Drosophila melanogaster: one gene and its partners. The protein of the gene in region 1 interacts with the protein of each later gene in a pairwise test. Each region holds a gene or a part of one and is shown in the gene's direction. Other genes may lie near its edges. The genes, in order: MESK2, CG14424, lost and CG30159.

The links.
Region 2: the proteins of MESK2 (region 1) and CG14424 interact in a two-hybrid assay, tested with the Drosophila melanogaster proteins (one large-scale study listed by BioGRID).
Region 3: the proteins of MESK2 (region 1) and lost interact in a two-hybrid assay, tested with the Drosophila melanogaster proteins (one large-scale study listed by BioGRID).
Region 4: the proteins of MESK2 (region 1) and CG30159 interact in a two-hybrid assay, tested with the Drosophila melanogaster proteins (one large-scale study listed by BioGRID).

The regions. Positions count from the first base shown.
Region 1 is NT_033778.4:21,499,459-21,505,462, forward strand, and holds the start of MESK2 (misexpression suppressor of KSR 2), read left to right. Parts: upstream 1-2,638; 5' UTR 2,639-3,021; intron 3,022-6,004. Other genes in the region: TAF1C-like (TATA box-binding protein-associated factor RNA polymerase I subunit C-like), read right to left, coding at 1-2,087.
Region 2 is NC_004354.4:2,924,921-2,929,667, reverse strand, and holds CG14424 (uncharacterized protein), read left to right. Parts: upstream 1-2,409; 5' UTR 2,410-2,498; coding exon 2,499-2,559; intron 2,560-2,888; coding exon 2,889-3,619; 3' UTR 3,620-3,784; downstream 3,785-4,747.
Region 3 is NT_033777.3:4,400,568-4,408,146, forward strand, and holds lost (lost), read left to right. Parts: upstream 1-2,508; 5' UTR 2,509-2,634; coding exon 2,635-2,713; intron 2,714-3,901; coding exon 3,902-4,072; intron 4,073-4,133; coding exon 4,134-4,852; intron 4,853-4,912; coding exon 4,913-4,981; intron 4,982-5,033; coding exon 5,034-5,244; intron 5,245-5,299; coding exon 5,300-5,688; 3' UTR 5,689-6,615; downstream 6,616-7,579. Other genes in the region: CG14647 (uncharacterized protein), read left to right, coding at 11-571, 787-918, 1,034-1,348; CG32944 (uncharacterized protein), read right to left, coding at 6,870-7,436, 7,492-7,579.
Region 4 is NT_033778.4:6,990,313-6,995,527, forward strand, and holds CG30159 (uncharacterized protein), read left to right. Parts: upstream 1-2,368; 5' UTR 2,369-2,743; exon of another isoform or gene 2,744-2,748; intron 2,749-2,808; 5' UTR 2,809-2,815; coding exon 2,816-3,535; 3' UTR 3,536-3,994; downstream 3,995-5,215. Other genes in the region: Tsp42Ea (tetraspanin 42Ea), read left to right, coding at 4,113-4,172.

The DNA.
Region 1 (6,004 bases):
TCCGTGTAGTGGGACAGCTTGTAAGCGGATTTCTGCCAGGGACCGCGACTGATGCTCTTCTGCTTTTTAACATTTCTCTTACTGGCAGCTTTCCTTTTGGGTTGCCGTTTTGGTTTCACCTTGGTTTTTTTCTTAGGCGTTTTCTTACCACCTTTCTTGGATTCCGAAGGTTCTTCCTTTACCTTTTCAGAGGCTGGGCTTTCATCTTCTGAAACATCAGTATCTTCTATGCCATAGTCAATTTCGATTTCCTCTACGATTAAAGGTTTTTCTTCAGGTTTTGATCTTTTGGCACCATCTCGAAAGATGTCTCTTATCTCTGGTATCGACTGGACTTGTGTGCAGCGGATGTTCTCGCGTTGGACGCGCTCATTAACGGCATTGGCAAGGTAGCGAATGGCTTCCGTTGTATGAGTTCCGGTTCTGATCTGCTGGACATGCTCCTCTTCATCCCTAAGCGTTAGTCTTTGGCAGTAAACATCTCCCAAGCTGTTGGAGGTTAGCAACTGGGTAAAAGCTTGATCACTGGCCCCCTCTAAGCCAATAAAGCGCATTCCTGTAATGCAGGTCGTTACCCGCTCTGCTATATCAGCATAGACATCCACAAATCCTCCCAAGCGAGCATCTATTAAAGCTTCTTCCAGGGTTACCGGCGCAAATGGTATTGCCGGCGAGAACATTTCATCGACACTTTTTGCCTGAGCTCCTTGCAGTTCACAAATTCGCAAATCTTTGGGTAAGAGTCCACCTAACGCAATATATTCACTGTCCTGGTGAACGCTTGTGTCAATAAAACAGGGTGGATAGGTCATCTGATGCGTCCAGGTGACGACAGCTCGATCGGTCAGCTTTTTACCCAAGCATCTGATATCCAAACAGTGGAAGTTGTGATTACTAGCCACATACAAGAGATTAGGATTCACACCCTTGGCCAAACAAGAGAACCTCTCGCAAGCTTTTGAGTGAACGCCGCTGGCAAAGCAGGGATTCAGAGGCAGATTGCATCGCACATCTACGGTAAACAAAACTGGCTGTGTTAGGCAGTGAAAGGTGCTTTCCTCTGCTTGCTTTAACTGTGCCCAGGTACTCGAGGTTTTCTTCAGTCCTTTTAGCAAGCAAACATCAAGCTTGGCTATATCCTGTTGTGTCGAAATATCCACGAAGCGCAAAGACCTATCCTGGCTAGCTAAGGCCAATGTATTGGCATTGGCCAATGATTGTGCAGCGCTTGTAAAAGGAGCTACTTGACTGCTAAACATGCAATGGCGAATGAGTTCGTAATCTGAATCCGAATCCTGTTCGTCTTTGCATTTAAGTTCGTATAGGGAAACCTCCTTCAGCAACCGTGCCAGGAACATTTGACTGCGATTTAAATTGTGGAGCGGAAGAAGTTCAAAGACTTCGCTGGAGGATTCCTCTATCGTAGCCGAATGCAATGGTTGCCAAAACTCCGCCTCACCATAATCTCGGGAAAAGTGCAAATCTCTGAGCTTATTACCGCTGACATGCATGGCCAGCTGATCGTTTCCATCAAACGGAATCGTGTTTAGGTTTCCGCCTGTGTAGTAGTAATCGTAGCTGTCCCTGAAGAAGGAATTCTCCTGTTGGGCTATGTGCTCAGCCATCTCAAACAGACTGGCATCGTGTACACCTTGCTCCTGCTTCTGTACACGCTGTCTCATATTTTTAAGTCGCCTATCAAATATAGCCTTGCCTAATTGCAATTGCCGTGTCCAATCGTCGTAGCGGAATGGCCTTTGGACGCATGCCTCCACTCGGGGAGTTTGTCCATCCTTTGCCAGGAAGAGGGGTAGCGGCACCGTAACCGAGCAATTTGGCAAGTCCTGCTTCGGATTATCCTGATGATCGTACAAGAGTTGGCCCAACATTCCAGTGTTCAAGCCGGGATAAGAGAAGTGCGGCGCATTTTCCAAAATGCTGCGCAGATTATCTGGCTCATTGTTATCCTCAGCATCTTGATCCGGCGGAAGATCATCTTCGGAATCGGATTCGTTGTCACTAGTTTTGGTCTTGACCTGGGCACTGTATTTGGCCGAATTGAGAGCTGTTTGATAGCGTCGCGGCATGTCTGTAATTGGAGTATAAATAAGAAATCGGATTTTGCTAGCTGGCCGATGTGTTTTGATGCATGTGAGCCTGGCTTACGGATTTCTTCGATCAGCTATCCAGTTCTGCACGAAAGAATTTAGTTAACAAATTGAATTTGACTCAATCAAACGCCAAACGCACGACGTTTCCTCTGGACGCAAGAAACAGCTGATTAGTGATGGGTATTTATGTCTACCCAACCGCATGCTTGCTGTTATGAGCATTACAAGCAAAATATTCACAATATATTAAAATAATATAGGTTTTGGATTATCTATTACATTACATTGGAAGTGCAAAAATGTAACATTGAAAAAAAAAGCATCGTAAAATACCTTTTTAAAGAAATGTAAAGGTTTTAGACACCAATAATAAGTAACATTTACATTTTTAAGTCAAAAATATTTAAGAATCCGATGTTTTGATAAGCGACGATGTATCGCTGGTCGGCGATACTATTTCTAAAATATCGGCTAGCTCGATAGCACCTATATGAAAACATCGATTCCCGATGCATCGATGTTTCTCCCCATCACTATCAAATTTGCTTTGCGCTGCATCGAGACCGAGAATTAAAGACTTGAAAGCAGCTGGAGAAATTACAAGAAATTGATCCCCGAAAATTACTGGCAATCGCGAACAGCGGGCGTGTGTGTGTGTGTGCGTGCGCGCGAGAGCGAGAGAATAAGTGAATGAAACAGAACGAGCACAGAAATTACACAAGTTGTAAAAGAAAAGGTGAAGAAAAAAGTTGGTCGAGACCGAATATTGATTTTTTCATAGACAGTGCAGTTAAAACAACGGTCTCTTTTTGTTAGCCAAAAAGAAGGCGTTGGTAAAAAGCGGTAGTAGTTTTTATCTCAATTTTGAGGCCTACAAAAGAATAGAAGAAAAAGCAACGGAAAGCGTCAGGTGAGTTTTTTAAATCCAACCACGCACACACCTGCACTCACACCTACACTACCGCACACAACGGGCACAATTAACATACATACAAGTGCCAAACAGACAACAAAACAAATGCCAATTGGAAAGGTGTGAAAGAGAGGGGCGGGTCTGGAAGATAACATTAACCAGTTCTAATCCTACTCCCCTCCCTCTCGCTCCGCTTGCATTTGTTTTGTTGCAGTTATCTATTACTCTTCCCTCTCTCTCTCTCTCTCTCTCTCTCTGTCTTATCCTGTCTCTCTCTCTCTGCGCTCGCCCCCATTAAAAAGAAAAGAAAACACACTGCCTCATCTAAAACTTTTCATTTGCATCCCAGTATCTGTTTTTCAATTAGCACTATTGTATATTTTGCGCACTCTTCTTTTTACTTAGTTAACAGTTAGTTGTTGTATGCACGTTTTTGTCGTTGTTGTTCTTGTTGCTCGCCATATCTGTACTAATTCATCCATTTATGATGTTCGTTTTTATTCGTTATTCGTTTTTTTTTTGTGTATGTTTGGCTTTGGTTTCGTTTGGGTTTTCCTCGCTTTTCCTAACTGCTAATTTTTGACAAAACCCAAATGGCTTCTGGCTCTGACGTAATGGACCCCTGCTGCCCTCCCCTTCGCTCCATTCCGTCTCTCTTCCTCTTTATCGCTCTCCCTCTCTCGGAGCTGGCGCTTTTCCACTCTAAACGACCTCCAGAAAACTTCGCCGCAATCATTTCAGCAGCTGCCACAGTGAAGCCTGTGTGCTGAAAACCAAGTTATGCCAGTAAAAAAAAGTGCGGTTGCATGTTGTCCTGGGATTCTAAATTAGTAGGTTTCCTTGATTCCTACACCTTTTTTCCATATTCTGAATTGCAATTAAGTTAAATAAGAAATTTGACGATCTAGGCAATTCGCAAAAAAACCTCAAATCAACTTCGAGTTGATTTTCTAGACAATAGTCGACCAATTTTCCTAACTAAACAAAGGAAAAGCGAAATGGAATAATGGGGTTGTTCATTAAAAGCGACTTGACTGTTATCTCTAATAGTTGCCCTAATTGGTTTACCTATTGGCAGTGTTTACTGTTCCTGCAGACATTTGTTATTCGCTGTTTTGTGAAATTTTATTGCTTCTAGCGGTTTTTGGGTGTGGAAATGAATGGGTGAGGACTCCACTTTAACGGCTCTACTGTAACCTGTCGGCGCCATCGCCATGGACAGGATTTCGTCTCGTCCTCCTGAGTATCTGAGTCCAGTACATACATGTATGTATACGTATCTATATCTGATGTTTAACTTTCCTGCATGTTTAATGCGTAGGTCAGTTTACTCAGAAGGCAAACACAATAAAAAGTTCGCCGCACAAATTGCTTTTGGCGCCTTGTTGCTGCTCCTGTTGTTGTTCTTGTTGTTGTTGTTGTTGACGCTCTTGTTGGCCACTCAGGTGTTTACCAACTTCCCTGGCACCTTCTCCCTTTTCTGCCCTTGGTCTGCTGCGGCTCTGTTTTTATGTAACTTTCAAATCGATTGCAAACACGTAACAGTAGGGCAACCTGCGCCGCCCCTCATTGCCCCACCGTGCCACGCCCCTAGCCTCCCACCTACCCAACTGATATTCTCCCATATCCTGCAACAACACGCTCTGACGTTGAGCGTGTGATTTGGTTCGTTTCGGCTGTACGATTTTTTTTCCTGCTGGCCTGCGGCTTGACATAGCGTGACATTTCCTGTATGTGATTTGCTGCCGTTGTCGGTGCCCCAGAACCCCTGCCACGCCCCCTACCGATGGGGTATCTTGTCTCTCCGCCCCCCAAAGAACATTTGAATAATTTCTGTTTTGCAAATTTGTACCCCCTCCCACATCGGAGGCGATATCCTTGAAGGACTCGGACAAATTGCAGTCAATACAATAGTTGAGCAAGTATTTTTAGGGGCAGCAGAGAACTTGTTGTTAGCCACCTTCCAAGGAAATCGAACACTGAAAGATCTTACAAAAAACAAGAGCCATTAAACGTATTAAATGATAATTTAACAATGAATTATGTATGTAACTACAGCAGACTTCCTTTAAAATTATCTCTTTTCACGTCTAAGTAGAAAAAGATACATTTAAAGCAAATCAAAAGCTCAAGGATTATGTAAATCACTTTTGTTCTCAGAAGAAAAAAAATCGTAATTATTTAGTCTTCTGAGTCGGTAAATCCGAAGTAGCATTGAATCCCAATCAAGTACACAGTTCAGCAGTAGATTGAGTTCAGATTGCTGTCTTGAGCTTCGGTTTGTTGTTGCCCGTTGACCTGCCAACGGTTGCCGTGGGCGACCTGCCAAATTGTCGATATTCCGTGCGCTCCTTTCGCTCCGGGCCGGAAAAACGGAAAAGCCAGGGCACGTCGTTCGCCTGTCGCCGTCCCACTCTAGCCGATGGCTAATTTCAATGGCTCCACGCTGCTTGCACCTCAAGCTCCTCCTCTGCACTCTTCACGTGCAATCGCAATTATGAATAATTCGCCATAAATGGCACACGCTGGGCTGCAATTATTGGAATTGAAGTGGCCCAGATGCCGCTGATAAATCGCTTGCCACCAATAAGCCTATAGTACATTATACATTACTACATTATATGTACATATATATGTAGAAATATGGCGCTAGGCCCATTATATCATATACCATTTCGTGTGGTCGAGGTGAAAAGTGCAAGCGCAACTTTATCAGCGCCCATAAATCGAGCAGCAAAAGGTCAAAGTTGAGCTAGACTAACAGCTTTTTTAGTGGCGAAGGATGGCCGCGGAATTTGCGAGTGCCCATGTACTTGGCAACTTTAAATGCGGTGTCATTTGTGTTTAGGTTTTCAGACTAGGGCAACAAATCATTGTTGTTTTTGTGTGATTATTCATCAGTTATATGGTTGATAAAACCAGTAATTATGCCATAAAAGTTGGTCATTTTATTTGATCAGCTGAAATCAAGCATGTTCCT
Region 2 (4,747 bases), on another chromosome or scaffold:
GCCAGCCATTCGGAATGGCAAAGCTCTCTCCATTTTTTTTTTTGCCTTTGCCACTGGGGGCTGTAAATCAGTTTGCGGTTTGTTGACCGTTGGCCAAAAGAGATCGGGTCGCAGGTCGCGATTCTAAACGGTTCGAAATATTTTCTAAAAACTAGTTCGGGTGTAGAGAGCCGTACATATTATGGTTTAAATGACCACGCCTGATGGGTAACTTTGGTTTGACTTACTTGTTAGGAAATTTACTTACTTGACTCACTTAATTAGGAAATACTTTGCAAAATATGACATACGCTAATTTAATGAACTGTTTTAGAAAGAAAACTACATATTATTAAAACTTATTTTTTAGATTAACAATAAGTTGATAATTTCTTACGCAGGATAGACAGGATTTCTTCAAATAGCTTACAATACCATTGTCTTGTTATGCAAAAGAACCATTAGCTTAATTAATCAATCGGATTTCCTGATTGCTATCATTTTGTACACGTGCATAAATTAGTAATGAATATCAAAGAGATATAGATTGATTGCAAGTCAAGTGAATTCCCCGAATTCACTAGTAATTTCCGCTCTGCGATTTCTTTTCATCGAATGTGGATCAGTGTGCTAATTTTTGGGAATATTTCTTAGACGCGCTCCAAAAATAGAACTTTCCCTACAACAGTAACTTTCCAAAATATGTTGACCCCGCAAATGATTGGGTGAGATGTGCTGACCCCGCCATGGGGGCAACTTTCTTTGCCATATACATAGCTAGAAACCACACACTTTGCTAATGAGTATTTACGATCTTTTTATGCATTTCCATTAGCATCAAATAACTTGGCTGGGATCTCTTTTGCTCGCCCAGCTCTTCGAGCTTATGAATACATTGCGTTCTTTTTCGCATAATTTGGTTATTAAAACATTTGTTTATGTCGCCCATAATGGGCGGCAAATATGTTTTCCTTTTTTTTTCCCCCAGTCCGCCCTTGTCATTAGAAAGAACTGCCAACGGTAGCTGTGGAAAATTTAAATAATTGCCGCGGCAATAACATAAATTAGATAAACCATCGGAGAGGCTGGCAAAAAAAACATGGAGTTCGAAAAAAATACAGCACATAAATTAATCATACCACCCGTGGTCAGTGGCCCAAATTCGGAATTGAGTAGGGCTGAGGAAATCGATTGGTCTCCAATTTCAGCCACTATTGAAGGCATTCAATTAACATTTAATATCGGGAATAGCTCGATGTACCCGCTCTGTGAAAATTATTGTTCTTTACAATTGTTTTGCAAGCCGAAAATAATGGTAATATTTGAAGGAAAATGCAAAAGCAATTGCAATTTATTTTAATTCAGATAGTTGTTTCTTACGATCTTGCATTATTTTGCAGGCGGACTGTGATTTAAATTTAAAGTTCTCTATAGCAAAACTCTTTTGGCCAATACATTTACACTTTTACAGCCAATTTTTAGGCGCATTTTAAATGCTATTTTCAAAATAGCTTTAATTTTGCATAGGTCCTAAACAAAAGGAAGATTATTGATTTAAATTAGCCAACAATAGAAGAACACAAAAAAGAGAGCAGACACTCATAAATTCCATAAAACCATAATCCGTCATGCCATTATTTCGCGCAGCTTATCACTAATAGTTCGATAGATTAGCCACTTAATCTCTGGCACTAAGTTGAGCCTGCTTTCAATGCAGAGAATGGCGGAGAAAAGAATAAATTTCGCACTATGGACTCGATCCACTTGATTGATTTAAATGCTCGTTCCTCGATCCGAATGGGGAACACATGCTGGCTGGCCAAAGAATATCTTTGTATATGGCTATATGGCAGACAGGCAGGCAAATGAATGTGGCCCAAATAAGCCTCGAACTCTGACATCTGCGGGGAAGAACAGTGAGACCTCGCCCACTTCGGACATTGACAAATGGAAACGGTTTGACTTATTGAAAATCTCACTTTTGACCTCAAAATTGGCTCAAGAATTCGCCAGACGGTTTTTGTATTTTTCCGTATTTCTCCAGGCGACCCAAAATGCAAATTTCTCGATTTTGGTAAAGAGTCAAATGCAACTGGAAATGGAAATGTAGCCACCAGAAGTCAACGTTCTGCGATCTCTGGGATGTTAGGAGTTTTTGGGTTCTCTGCTTTTTGGGTTTTCTATTACTGGTTTTTGTGCATAAATCAGTCGACGGACATTTGCATAGTTTAATAATTTGCCAATCGTCCAAGTCCCCACCAATTTCGCTACATTTTACTTTGTTCTGCTGCCTGGCCACCTAATTTCTTTTGTTTTTCGTGTGATTTTTATGTGTCTACGCTGTTTTGCCTGCTTTTCGCCGGCCAGGTGAATGTTCCTTCCCTGTATAAAATGTCTTTGCCGGGCACTTGATGGACCATTTAATAGAGGCCCTCGTCCAGCGACAGACCCAAGCCCAAGTCCAAGTCCAAGTCCACATCAAATCCAAGTTCACAAGAAGATCCCATATATACATCATTATGGCAATTAAGTTGGTAGCCCTTTTGACCATCGGACTGGCAATCTTTGCCGCGTGCGAAGGTGAGTTGGTTGGTGATTTAGGAGACGAAAAATAATCTTTGATGAATTATGTTCGCTTTTCCAATATCCATCAGTATCATACATTCTCTTCGAAATCATAATTAAGTGACGGTTATTAATTAATAAATTGCTTTCATAGTTTTTGAGAAACAAGCAATTTTCATAGTTCTTTGTTAATAATGACAGACTTTTGTTGAAGTGCATTGACTTTTTTTTAATATGTGTTCCTAATATACGATGATATTAAAAGCTAAACTAGTTCGTCAGGGCGAATTTAAACCATTTCTGCCAACCCTATTTCCTAACCCCATGTCTTTGTATCCCATTAGCCCGCCATGTGAGCGGACACCATCGCAGGCAGCATTTTGAGCAGCGTGCCCTCATAGCGAAGCCCCACAGTGGTCCCCAGGGACGAGTCTTCCCCGGTGCCGTGGCCATTAAGAAGCTGGTTCTGCTTAAGTTCAAGAAGATCGTGCCCATCTCTCTGATCCTGCTGAAGTCAAGCAACGAGAACGAGGCCGAGCTGGTGCCCGTCTATCCCACCGATCAGATTCCCGAGAACGTTCAGTTCATCCCGACACCCAATGGAATTTCCGGTCACAAGGATGTCCAGGCCATCGCCATTCCTGCCGAGCTGCACGACCAGCTGCAGATCAACGGTCTGTCCAACCTGGAGAACATCGAGGCTCTGCTGCAGAGCAGCTCGATCTCGGCTGCCGACAATGAAGGCGAGGCCCCCGTGGGCAACAGCATTGCCGTAGCCCAGCCCGAGGATGTGGTACTGGAGCAGCCAGAGAACGATGAGGATCAGCTGTTAGACGGAGCCGCTCCAGTCGCCGCTCCTGTAGCCGTCGCTCCCGCCGCCCTGCGCCGCCTATCCGCCGACGAGCTGCTCCGCTCCGGCGTGCGCAACTCTGCCCAGCAGCAGCAGACCAGCGTGGAGGAGATACCCCTGCTTCTGTACTCCGCCAACGAGGGCTCCTCCTCCGCCGGAAACTCGGGACGTCGCTTTGTGGCCGCCGCTCCGGCACAGCGCCGTCGCCAGCAGTTCTACAACTAGGATCCTTTAATTTAAACAAGCAACCTATCCAAACTTCCACATTCCTTCTCTCGATGGCTGTCACACGGGCTTCACTGTACTAGGTGTACTTACACTACCACTGGCTATTCTACATTTTTTTTTTAGACTGAACTGAATATAAATTAACGTTATGAGCGAAATGACAAAAGAAGGGACTTGTGCTTCCGGGTGGCGAAGGGTCTTCAGTGGGCCCTGGGGTAAAAAGGCCACACTTGGATAAATTGGGGGTCAAAGAAGAACCTTTAAAAAGAAAAAAGTTGTCTCAATGGTAAACCAACCAATTTATTACAACAAAAAGCACTGGTTTTAAAAGGTTCAATTAATCTAAGTTTTATGTTTATAAACATTTAAATATCCACCCCTTTTTCGAGTGTCGCCAAGTAGATGGGCAGATCCTTGTTTGGGGCGCTGCTTATCAGGCGACTGCAGTTATCAGGCCTTTGTGCTCGGGCTTTGTGCCGCTGACGTGACAAGTCCTGTCTGTGTCTCGTTTCGTACTCGGCCTCGTCCTCGACTTTATCCTCATCCCCATCCTCAGTTTCAGTCTCAGTCTCAGTTTCGGTTTCGGTGTCCCGATCCCAGTCCAAATCGCAGTCCCAAAGAGTCCTCGTGTGGCAGCCTGCCAGCAATTTTGAGCCAACAAACAAAGCGGCCACAAAACACATGGCACAAATTTTGCTTAGGCGCAAAAGTCAACGGCACACGAGGCGCAAAGAAAGGCAGCCGCACAACAAAAGCGCCACAAAGATGGGACACGTTAACCTGCCATTCTAATGTGAAACCACGAATAGAGAATGTCCTTAAACATATGCCAAAAATGAACTAAATCTGCCGGAAATAGGAAACTAGAACATACTATGAACAACTATGAAATCCCATAGTTTGGTTTACAAAATTAGAAATCTAATAAGAGCGATATTCGATCCACAATTAATTTTCATATGAAACAACTGGAAATTGAGAACTTTTCACATGTAGCAGGGTATCAAAACTTTATTTCTACGGGAGTGCATTTACCTACATACACCCCGCACATCGCCCCTTTGCCCAGTCGTGTGTCTTATTTGCCGCATTTTTGACAGGATTCCCCCAAGCAACAAAGCCCCA
Region 3 (7,579 bases), on another chromosome or scaffold:
TCCCAATCAAATGAATAGTGATCTGAAGGAGAGTGGTTCCGGAGCCAGAAAAGACGACGCCGCACCGGCAGCCGGCGATTTCGTCGCCGCTAGCGGATTCGCTCCCAATCGTTGGGTCAAACTGAACGTGGGTGGACAAATCTACGCCACTACCATCGACACTCTGGTGGGCAGAGAACCGGATTCAATGCTTGCTAGGATGTTCCTGCAAAATGGCAGCATGAAGCCCAGCGAGCGTGACGAGCAGGGAGCATACCTGATTGATCGAAGTCCTCGATATTTCGAGCCGATCATCAACTACCTCCGCCACGGACAATTCGTATGCGATTCGAACATCAGTGTGTTGGGTGTTTTGGAGGAGGCGCGGTTCTTCGGAATCTTTTCGCTTGTCACCCATTTGGAGGAACGCCTGGGACAGCAGGAGACGCCGCTGGGGGACAGACCATTGACGCGCAACGACGTCATCAAGGCCATCATTCAGACCTCCGTGATAACGGAGCTGCGCTTTCAAGGCGTTAATCTGTCTGGGGCCGATCTACGAAAGCTAGATTTTCGCAACATTAACTTCAAGGTGTGCGCAAACGAATTTCATTTCAATGCATACATTGTGTAATACAACATTTTAAGTCTTTCCAACGCCGTAACACGACTGCATTTTAATATTATTGTAGTTTGCTACGCAGTAAAGGAGATATTTTCGTCCGGAAAAAAATGGAAAATTATTGGTGGAGATCTATCAAGTTGAAGACAATAATTATACTAAAGACTATCCCTTTTCCTTCACAGTATGCCAACATGTCTCACTGCAATTTGTCCCACACCAATCTTAACTACTGCTGTCTTGAACGGGCGGATCTTCAGTACGCAAACTTGGAATGTGCCCAACTAGTGTCAGTGCGGGGACTTTGCGCCAATATGGTAAGCACAGGTTTAACAGAAAACGCTATTAAATAATCACATCATTTGTGAAACTAGTTGTAACAGATTTACGCCATCCAATTAGCTAAGAAAACTAATCTGCCTAATCTTTCAGGAAGGTGCAAACTTGCGTGGGTGTAATTTTGAAGACCCAACAGGAGTTCGAACTAATCTAGAGGGTGTTAACCTCAAAGGAGCATGTTTGGAAAGCAGCAACATGGCCGGTGTTAACTTACGTGTGGCAAATTTGAAGAACGCCAATATGAAGAACTGTAATTTGCGAGCTGCGGTGTTAGCAGGTGCCGACTTGGAAAAATGCAATCTTTCTGGCAGCGACTTGCAGGAGGCAAATTTGCGTGGGGCAAATTTAAAGGACGCGGAGCTTACCCTAATGGTGACCCCATTGCACATGTCACAGGCCATACGATGATATCTTGGTTGGCACCTATCACTAATATTACTGTTATTGACTGTACATACTTAAAAGTTTAATAGTAGGTTATAAAATAAACAGTATTAGGATTGAATTTCTAAAGTCGTGTGTATTATTCTTATTCCTTACTCGTAGAGTAAAAAAGTATACTAGATTCGTACTAGAAAAGTATGTAACAGGCAGATAGCAGCGTTTCCGACTATATAAGGGATATATATTATATATAATCCGGATCAATAGCCGAGTCTATCCGTCTGTCCGTATAAACGTCGTGATCTCAGGAACTATAAAATCTAGAGGTTGGGATTAAGCATACAGATTTTAGAGACGCGGCTCACGTTTGTTGACCCATGCTGCCATGCCCATTCTAATGCCCACAAACCGCACAAAACTGTGACGCCCACACTTTTAAAAAATGTGTTGATATTGTTTCATAATTTAATTAGTCTTGAAATTTTCTATCGATTTGCCAAGAAACTTTTTACCACACCCATTCTAACGCCCTAAAAACGCATTCCCACTGGCTGAGTAACGGGTATCTGATAGTCGGGGAACTTGACTATAGCGTTCCCTCTTGTTTTTTTTAATGAAATTTCGCGTTCGCATTCACACTAGCTGAGTAACGGGTATCTGATAGTCGGGGATTTCGACTATAGCATTCCATCTTGTTTTTTTTGTTTATTACATAGTCTTAGTCGCATCACTAAAGATTCTTTTATATTTTTATATAAAACATTCCTTAGGGACCTTGCAGAAGAGTTACATTTAGAAAATCCTAAGCCGGGGCAGGAGCCTGTGTTAATTATAGTTTATCCTTCGATTCCTTTATCTACAAGAAACATAAATAAAGAAAATAATATAAAATTTATCTATTTTTAGTTTTTAATACCTTATTCGCAGTGATCACAGCTTACAATTTTACCGAACTATCTGGGTGGTACTCGATGTTTATTAAAATAATATATAACAATTGAAGCGAAAAAAGATGATGGACTTGCATGTAGATCTAATGTATATTGTCGGTGGCGTGTATAAGCTCAGATGTATAACTTTTATTATATTTTTAGCTAGAACCATCGCAAGCAACTCTATACGAAATGTATCGATGTATCGCATCGGCGATGTTTTTTTACGTCACCAGAGAAACGTCAATTTTCAAACGTGGTTTGTTGGAAGCCAGCGGAGAACGGTAGACGTTGCTTGTGAACTGTGAACTGTGTAGCCGTAGCCTGAGCCGGTAAAAAATTGTGAGCAGAACTAAAACACAATTGGCGAGCGATTCGATGGAGGACCAAAGCAACGCAGCCCCCGCTGTCGCCGCGGAGAACGGCGGAAACACCGCGCAGGAGGTGTCTTCGACAAGTAAGTGGCCTGCCCTACTACCCCGCCCGCTCGCCGACGAAAATTGCGTGTAATTCTCGCGAGTGCTGGTGATTCCATAAATGTTTTGCGCCGCGCCGCGCCTTGCTCGCTGGGCATCCAAAGTGAATACCCATGTTCCAGAGGGGCAGGTGCCCGATTCAGCCATTTTCTAGGTGCCAGTGTAGAAGCGGAAGATTGTCGAATTCCGCCATATTTATTTCTAGGAGACCCTAGCTGTAAATAAGAGTTGCCGAAACGCCGAAGTTGCTTGTTGTTGACACTAATTACGTCATCTTTGCGCGCATTCTTCCCACAATTACAAAAAGTGAAATGAATCATTTTCGGTGCTCTTGGCCGATTTCGATTTCGAGATTCTGTGCTCGCAGTGTCAATTCACCCGCTCGCTTGCGCCCCGCGCTGCCCGACACCACTACACGCTCGCGGCACTGCTCATACGAATACATATTAATTGAGAAATTCGCGAGTCGATGCGCTCATCGCCCAGAAATGTGTGCGTGCGAGTGTGTGCGTGTCGAAGCGTTGCCAACTTATTGGTCATGCGTTAATATCGGGATATGGGTTCTTAATTTGTATTTCTCATTGAACCCGCCAAGAAAGACGGCCGAAATAGTTTTAGCGGCCAATTCATACTTCAGTTTCAATTCAACAAGCGCACACACATGCATGTTGACGTGTGTTCTTTAACCAGCACAGGTGGCAACCCTGCCGTCCCGATTTTGCATGCAGATTTTTGTTTTCAATGATACGGGCCGGCGTTTGCTGGTGTATGTTTGGGTCACTTTCACATCTGATTACTGGGCGTGGAAACCGGTATATCAGCCGCGGTATCACTTTTAGTCCAGCGCCAACTAGCGTGATAACACGCGTTCATTACAGACGATAAGGGCAGCGGCTGTGTTGCTATTCAGCACATTTGATTCGCACTTTTACAGTCAACCTCCCCTAACAAAAACTAACATGTCCGAGAAGTTGGGGAATCGCTTGGGTCCGCACGTTATCATACCTACAGATCAGCTCTGGAATGGAATGTGGCTTGATTTAATGAAGGCTAGCTATCACTAACACAAATACAAATGAGCTCACCGCTGCAATAAACTAAAATATGTTTCTTTTAGTCATCTGTTTATGTTATTGGAGCATATTATTGTAACAAACATGTCGTTACAGCTCAGCCCATAGAGCCCACAAAGCGCTCGCTGCGCGTGCAGACCTGGAAAAAGATCCAAGAGGGCAAGGTTGGCATTGGATTCAACAACATATTTAACCGAATTCCTTCGTTCGTGGGTGCCGATAAGGCTGCTGCCTTGTTTGCCAATGAAGAGGAGTTCAAGAAAGCACGTAAGGGAGTACCACAGCCCCGTTTTCAGTGCACCAATTATCACTCTTTCCCGTATTGCAGAGCACATCAAGGTGAACATCGATCGCGTCTTGCATGAGTTTAAGGAACTGGCATTGCTGGCCGACAAGTCCGTATACTTGCCCAGCACCCGCGAATCTTCTGCACTGTGCCTAAAGGTAGATGTGCTGGCCGATGCCACCGAGGAGCAGAAAAAGGAGGCTCTGCGCGTTCAAGATATTCAAAAGTTTCGCTCGGAAATTGGATTGGACAGCGGTCTGAAGCTGGACATCGTGGTTATTGGCTCTGTTGTAGTGTCACGCGAGGGTTACCGCATTGGACGCGGAAATGGTTTCGCTGATCTGGACATCGGCCTCCTTATTGAACTGGGAGCCATTACACCGAAGACAATTATTGTCACAATCGTGCACGACATGCAGGTGGTGGACTCACTGCCCCCGAATCTATTCCAGAAGTACGATACGCCAGTTGATATCATTGCAACACCCACAGAAATAATCAGGGTGCCAAAGCGCTTGTCTTTCCCCAATGGCGTTTACTGGGAGCTGCTGTCCGAGCGCCGTCTAAAAATATTGCCCGTGCTGCAGCAGCTTAAGGAAAGGGAGGAGAAGGCGGGAAAATCCATATCCCTCAAGGAGGAAGACACCGATGTGGAGCAACATCAAAACAACAGACGCCGCCGTGGGCCTGTGCGCCGGCGCATCCAACGAGGAAACCCAGGTCGCACCACTTCGCAGACTGACAACGAACAGCCGCAGGGCGTAAGTCGAATCCACCACACTGTCGGCACTATTGAGTAACTTTTAACTCTGCATTTTTAGGAGACTGCTCAGAAACGCACTCCGCGGCGCAAAGGTCGTTTCGTCAATCGCCGCAGACGTACAACTAAGGTAAGTAGCTTAAATATGACAGCCGAAGCCAGCCTAATCAACGTAATTTTAGTCTGAGGGCGATCAGTCTGGTGTGGAAGCAGGTGCTAAAACTGATGATCGTAAGTTACCAGAGGCTGGCACTGATGAGCGTCGTTCAAAGAAGAACAAGAACAGTGATTTTTGCATTAAGTTGACAAATCTGTCTCGTGATATTCGCGTCAAGGACTTAAAGTCGGAGCTCCGCAAACGCGAATGCACTCCGATGTCAATTTCTTGGAAGGGTATGTCACTTATATTTGGTTTAAAAGCTCTACGCTAACTATACCTTCTCTTTAGGACACTTCGGAAAGTGTTTCCTGCACTTTGGAAACCGCAAGGGGGTTCCCAGTACCCAGGACGACATGGACAAGGTGTTGAAGTCTCTCAACGATCTCTCGCTCACCATTACCACTGGTGGCGAGACAGCCCCAGCTGCCGCCGCAGGGGAGGGCGGTGAGAAAGCAGAGTCAGCTGAGACTGCAACGCCTGTGCAGACCAAGACTATTCTCGTCAACGTAGAACTGATCCAATTTGGCGAGAAGAAAAGTGCTAGCTCCACTGGTGCCAATGCCGGTGCAGGCGAGGATGGAAAAGCAGACGCGCAAAACGGAGGGGAGGCCGTAACTGTGGCAGGAGGCGACGTGGGTGGTGCACGCATCGAAGCTGTCGACACCACCACAGTATAGTATGACTTTGCGCTTGGCGCAGCCAATGAACGGTCGCGGCGGACTTCCGCCGACAGCGCAATGTTTGGAGTTCAACGAAAAAAAGTAACATTTTGTTTAGAAAAAATCGGGAAATACCAAACAAAAAACAAATAGAAAGCGAACTCCGAACAAACACAAAGTACACTCAAAATACACACTCACTAAATACACGCTGGCAATTACACTTGTGCATACACTGAATATCATGTTTTGCAGCTTGTAGTTTCTTCTTCTCCGTCATTATTCTAACCAACAAGAAAATCAAACGCAACTCTTTCTAACGAGAACACAAATCATTGACGCTTTTTCTAAACAATTGCATTTGTTTTTTGCCTAAGAAAATTAAAACGATTGCAGAAATACTCGTTCCACAAATGCAAAGTGGAACACCATTTCTTCTAAATAATCCTTTTACTAACTTCTTGTGACTTGTTACAATTCTGAATTAGAACTTCTGAATATTTGTTAATTTGATTTCACACCTCAGCAATAAGATCGTTTTGCTGTATCTCTGTTAAGCAGTTGAGCTGCTAGTAATAGGGCTTGAAGTTGAGTGCGTTGAAGTTGAAGTAATGTTCTAAAATGTAATACTAATAGGAATGCCCTATAAATGAGAAATACCGCGAGTAAGAAAAAATGAATTAACAAAATATTTACATGTTGCATTTGGTTAGTCTTTTCCAACTTTCACCGCAAACATCAATAAATTTAATAATATTTTTAACAGAAGAACAAGAAATGTGTGAAAGCAAGAATTATACAATGCAGAACATAATTATACAAGGCAGAACATAATTATTTACCCTTTTTTTATACACAAAAGGCATTACAAAAAAAAAATATGAAACATGAATGAAATATAACTTGAAATAAAAATTAAAAAAATCGTAAAAATAAACTTGACCGAAAATTACCCGTTTATTTTGCTTTTAGACTTAAATCTAATATGTACAAAGGTAGCTTAGACCTATTTTATTTAAAAGTTATAAAATGTCATAGTTCTGTATATAATATGCGCATGTACACAAAATGAAGTTTACAGGAGTTCGAAAAATAGGTTCTGGTCTTTATGGATGGATGGCTGACAAGTCATCGTTGCGCAAGTGGGTCTGGTTCTTGTGCAGTTTGAAACCTGTTGCTTATCAACCGCGTCCTAGGTTTTATTTTTGAAACGGACTCTGCGGCATGTCAAGTCTGCTGCCAGCCGATTCTTTAATCTGCGGTGAAGGAGTGCGATCAATGAACTCAATACTCTCGCCCTTTAACTGGGCGACTGCGGATGATGCGGTCGCACAGTCGCCGTCGTGCACAACGCAGGCGGCGGGTTTCTCTTGGATGGGGGCCAAGCTGTTCACGATGGAGTTGGCCATGGCCAGTTCCAGTTCGCGCTGCCAGTCGTTTTCCTTTTGTTCCATGGCTTTGCGCTTCAACTCCTTGTAGCGGTTGTAAACGATGAACTCTTTGACCAGTGCAGTCTCTGGATCGCTGTCGCGTTGTGCTGACCTCTGCTTGGCCAGGCGCTTCTTCTTTTTATGCAAGGGCCGCGATTCTACAATCATTTCCTCCAGTTCTAGGCAAGGATCACAGTTGAGGTGGTCTTCGGGAGGTTTATAGATGGGTTTGATCTTCTTCTCGAGCACCCTCTGGAAGTCAATGTTGCGCAACATGGGCGTTTGATGCAGCTCCTGCCTTGTACTGATCCTAGCACCCGGATAGGTGGAAAGTAACTACAATAGTCATAAAGTGTGTGTTAGTGTGTTAAAACAGTGCGATCCAACCCACCCTCTGCAGCAGATCGACGAAGTTGCTGCTCCAGTAGCGCGGATAGTGCACGGGGGTGTTCAATATATTCTTGATCTCCGCTAGTGGG
Region 4 (5,215 bases), about 15 Mb from region 1:
AACTCCCCGACGTCTAAGGCTTAGATTTGGAAAGTTGTGCAGGATGTATGGGCAAAAATTCCCCCAAATGATGCCAGGACCTGGTGGACTCCATGCTGCGTGGGTGTAAGGCTGTGCTGGCTAACAAAGGCTATCCAGCCAAGTATTAGGCCCGAATTAACGTATTAAAAAGAAAAACTAAGTTAGTTCTAGGTCAAGTTGAATTTTGTTACTGTTTTTTTCAATATTTACATTGAAAACCAGAGTTTCTACCTATTTTGTTGTTTTAATCTATATTTTCGAAACTATTGAAGAAATAAAAGTGAAACATTTGTTAAATTGTTTAAAATTAAATACCTAATGATATTATAAAAAAAAAAAATCCCATTAAAACTGTAAATCCTAGGAATTTTTGATCTTAAACTCTCAGGTCCAAAGCACTGCTATTTTTATGAACACAGCTGTATATATAGAAAATATTTGCTAAAGTAACTACTACTCTTGCGATTTATGAAAACGGATTCATTCAACCACTTTTATGACGAATTTCATTGTATTAATATCTCAATACTGTAGGTCTGAGAAAAATGATACATTCTGTTTGGTCAGCTGCAAGTTGAGTATACTGACAGAAAAAAATATTTCAATAATGTGCGAAAGGAATTTTGACTGAAAACGCTGAGAATGATCTTTTGTTTGAGTGAGATTGATTTCACAGTAGTTTTACTTTCTGTGTACATGCTAATTTGATACCCCGCACCCATGGGAAGCAGCTTGAGGTTTTTCCGCGGCATTAGTGCATTTTCGAAATTGCTCGAGTGTGACGCATGCAGATCTCAATCTCGACCACGGGCTTTTCGTCGCCAGCGAGTGTCCCTCCCCTTGGAAGGCAATCTCACTTATGTCATTCATTTGACGCTAATTCGACATTTACAGAAAGTATTTGCTCGAGGAAGATAACCAGAAGTGCAAGCAAATGATTCATAATTGATTCTATTTTGACAATAATTGGGAAGACAGCACTGTAGGAAAAAGGGGGCAATATGATCATATTCCAAATAATATGAATATTGATCATTTTAATTTCAAATTGTGTATATTCTTAGTAATCATATTGTATGTATGGCTTTTCCATTTGGGAAAATCCGTATGAGTTATATTTTATTCCTAAGAATTCGTGTTGCATTCAAAATTGCTGAAACAGAAATAGCTGCAAAAAATCTTGATTTGTTCGTGCCAATTGTTACATTGCTTTAATATTTTAATCTTTAGTAAATGTGGGCAATCCATCGAGATGATCTTCAGCGCTTGTATCTATTAGATACACTTAATTTTCCATCTTTAGGGGCAATGACTCATCCCAGTACGAGTTTCATTTAGATAGTGCGATTTCGATCAATGGAGATACGAAATTCTATTTCTCTTTGTGTGCCGAGCGTTGTGGAAATACATTTAAATACGGAACAACGTGAGGTTAATTGTGCGGAGCACACTTGTTAATTAGGGAATGTCAGCGGGCGCGACAGTTGGCGCTCCCCTCACCCCTTCCCAACCCACCGAAATCCGAAAATAATGCTTCCAAGCCACGTTTTCATTGGATTACGTAAGCTGTAAACCAGTTTATGATGTTGTTGTTGTTACTGTTGTTGCCAGTGTGTGTCAAGGAAAAGCTAAACACAATTACAACGCCCTTCTGTCTGGTAATTAAAAACGGAAGCCATGCCCGAAGCCATAGTAGGCTGGCTAACGAGACCTGCACATCGGCCCAAACTGGTTGGCTTTGGCTTTAGGCCACTTTCGAGGAAAATCCGCCCACGACGAGCCGAAAACCGCAAAACACGTCCGCCAGTGGAAATCGCATCGAAAGTTTTGCGGTTTCGAGCCATTTTTCCATTAACTCGAAATTCTAGAAGATCAATTCAAATCAATGTTCATGTGAGATTTTCCTTATGAATACCTGTATTTTTATATACCGAGATACGTATGTACAAACAATCTTATCCTACAATTTCCTGTTTTTGAGGCAGCTTTATCTTATAAAAACTGTTCGAAACAAAATTATAATTTCCATATACATATCTTCAACGTGAGGTTTTTGCTCCCTTTTTTCTGTTCTTAATTTTCCTATTGGCCAGGCAATAGTGCATTTGCATAAATAAAACATTTATTGGTAGTAAAAGTTAAACAAATATGTACGTAATTCCCGAAACATTTCAAATTTGCATAAATAAACAAACGCGATTGGTAACAGAGAGCGGAAAAACAAGTTACAGTAATTACCGTTGGGAGGGGGTGACGAAACAAACCAAAACAAAACGAATTATGCTCGTGTGAGTGTGCGCGACGCAACAGGTTGAGGCTGCTTGGCGCAGCTTTTGACCGATCAGTTTAGTTCAGTTAGCATTGTCAACTGCTCACGAACGGTTCGAAAAGCGGAGCGCGCGTAAAATCATTCTGTAAATCATTCAAAAGGCGGAAAACTCAAGGTGTGTGTGTGGGTTTTGTTTTCAAATTCCGTGTGCTTGTGTGTGTGAGAGAGGGCGAGAGCGACAGTGTCGTAGCAGGCAGTGTTGTAAGGTGCCGAAACAGCGATCCCAACCGGCACACTAGTTGTCCTGCTCGCACTCCAGTGAGGCAAATGTCAAAGTCTGGTCAGTAGCAAAACAGAATTGCAGCCAAGAAAAGCGGAATCAGCGACAAAATTAGCCATTAGTTGGGTTTTACATATAGATTAGGCCAGCGAAACGACATAACGCTCCAAGTGGTAAAGTGAGACCTGCCAGTGGCGGCACCCAACCCGAAAAAGCCTAACCAGCGACCACTTTCCAGTTATCCAATGGAGGCGGCCAAGGATTTTGCGGTGGCCAAGTACCAGGACTTATGTAACTTCCTGGAGCGGGATACGCGCGGCAGTGAGCTGGCCATCTATGGCACCTCGGCCATCATGCTGGCCGTGGCCTATGCCAAACGGAAGCCGGCCTACCTGGTGCGCCAGTTTAAGCAGCCCTCGCACATCCCGGAGCGCCTGATCAACGAGCGCGTCATGCACACGGGCAAGATCGCCGGGGTCAAGCAGCAGGAGCAGGACACCCTGCTGATGATCCAGCACCGGCCGCTTTTCCCGATCTTCACTAGCAGCAAACGCCTGCTGCCCGTCAAACTGCCGGGCGTGCGCGTCAATGCCAACGGCTACTCCTGGCTGCAGCAGTGTCTCATTGGGCGCGAGGCCACCTTTCTGCCCCTTAAATCCGCCAAGGGACAGGACTTTGTTGTCTGCCAGCTGTGCCTGGTCCATCCGCCGAGGGGCAACCGCCTGCTGGACGTCTCGGAGACCCTGCTCAAGCTCCGCTTCGCCCGATTCGTGCAGGATGCCGCCGCCGCGGTTAAGAAGAACGGGAAGTACTACCAGCATCTGAAGAAGGTGGAGCAGACCACAGCGGAAAAGGAGGCCTGGCTCTCCTGGGCCGCCGGCTATCCCTACATCTGGCGCCGCTACAACGAACTGAGGCAGCGCTGGTTGCCCAAGGAGAAGCTGCTGCCGGAGCTAGTGCGCTGATTGCGATCTCCCCGTTCCTGCCTCGATGCTATTTACAGGGCTACCTAGCTCGCCACCATTAACTTAGTTCCATGGCCAGCTACTCTCTATATTTTTATTATGCCTGTTTACTAGCTTGTGCATTTGTGTCTTAGTGTTGCTTGCTATCTATTGTTATACGATTGGCAAATATCATATACGATATAAGACAGCATTTGTTTACAAACCCTCGAGCACAAGTACACAAGTCAGTCTCAAAAGCTTATTAGTAAGGGGAATAGCTAGCGCGACTTGCCCAACGCGACTTTCGATGCCCAGGCGGTACGTGATCGTGTGCTAATTTCCACACCCAGTAGAGCCAAGAACGTCAGCATTTTTTAAATATTCAAATAAGCGAAATGTTTTTACCACGGATGACATCAGTGCGTGTGCCTGTGTGTGTACGTGTGCGTGTTTCCCAAATAAAATGCCGAAATACCTAACTTTTCACGCTTGTATCTGAATTTCTTAATTCCATTCCATTTTTTTCGTCTCCCGAACGATCAGTTGCAGTTCTTCATCCATCTCCACCAGCAATCTCTGGCAAAACTCAGGCAAAATGAGCTGCGGAATCTCCATGGTTAAATATATCCTATTTATATTTAATTTGCTCTGTTCGGTGAGTAGCATAGATACATTTAAGATTACATAATTTCGAGCGGCCAAGCTTAGATCGACTTCTCAGCCTTTTAGGCTGGCAGTGAGATCATAACTTTCGTGCGGAATAAACTGGTTTTCCCAAAATTGGTGTTTTCAGTATTGAAAGGCTGAGAAAGTCGAGGCCCACAAAAGTGGTGAGCATGAGTACATTTTAAAGCCACAGAAGGCACTCTCGTTAAATGCATTTTTGTATTTTTGTGTTCTTTAGGTCGGCTTTCATATTTACATATCATGAAATTAAACATATCTCAATTAATGTTTATTAAGGACCCTTAAAGTAGGATCTATTATAGCATTTATGGTGTCTCTTTTCCGGTCAGCACTATCACTTTCCGGTTACGAAACGCACTGTACGTGCAAAGTGGGGGCAGAGCTTGAGATCATCATCAGTATTCCAAAACCAGTTATTAAAATTGGGCTACGTTTGTGACGTAGCGGTATCCGAAAAATTCTGTATAATTTTGTGTACACTACGTACACTTTTGTTTACTTTGGAGTCCCAAAACCAGTTTGTGTTGTTTCGGTCCCCACAACCGAGCCCCACATCCACAAACATGCATCCCATTAGTCGGAGTCAGTCCGAGGTTAACTGGTTCCAAATGGCAACCAAACAATCATTGAAACGCCAGCAACGGTGGCATTTCGATATGGTTTTGCAACTTCTAACTCACTGCCCCAAAGTCACTGCACCGCCAGGTGGAACTGTACTTCGTCCAACCAGTTTGGGGCTGGGACCCTGACTTGCTGCTGGTGGGAAATCTGACTGCGTCGGAGTACCAGCGCATTATTCGCGTCACGCAAACATGGATGTCATTCACTACGGGCGGAAAAACATCAGCACACGGCGCTAATTCTTCAATCGTATGCAGTATACGGATATAGAAAATTTACAAAACAAAACCATTTTTTGTTGATGGGAAATCGGTAAACGAGATGGATGACCTATCTACTTGAAATAGGTCATTTGATTTGTTCAAGAGTTCCAATCCGCAGTTCTCCAAC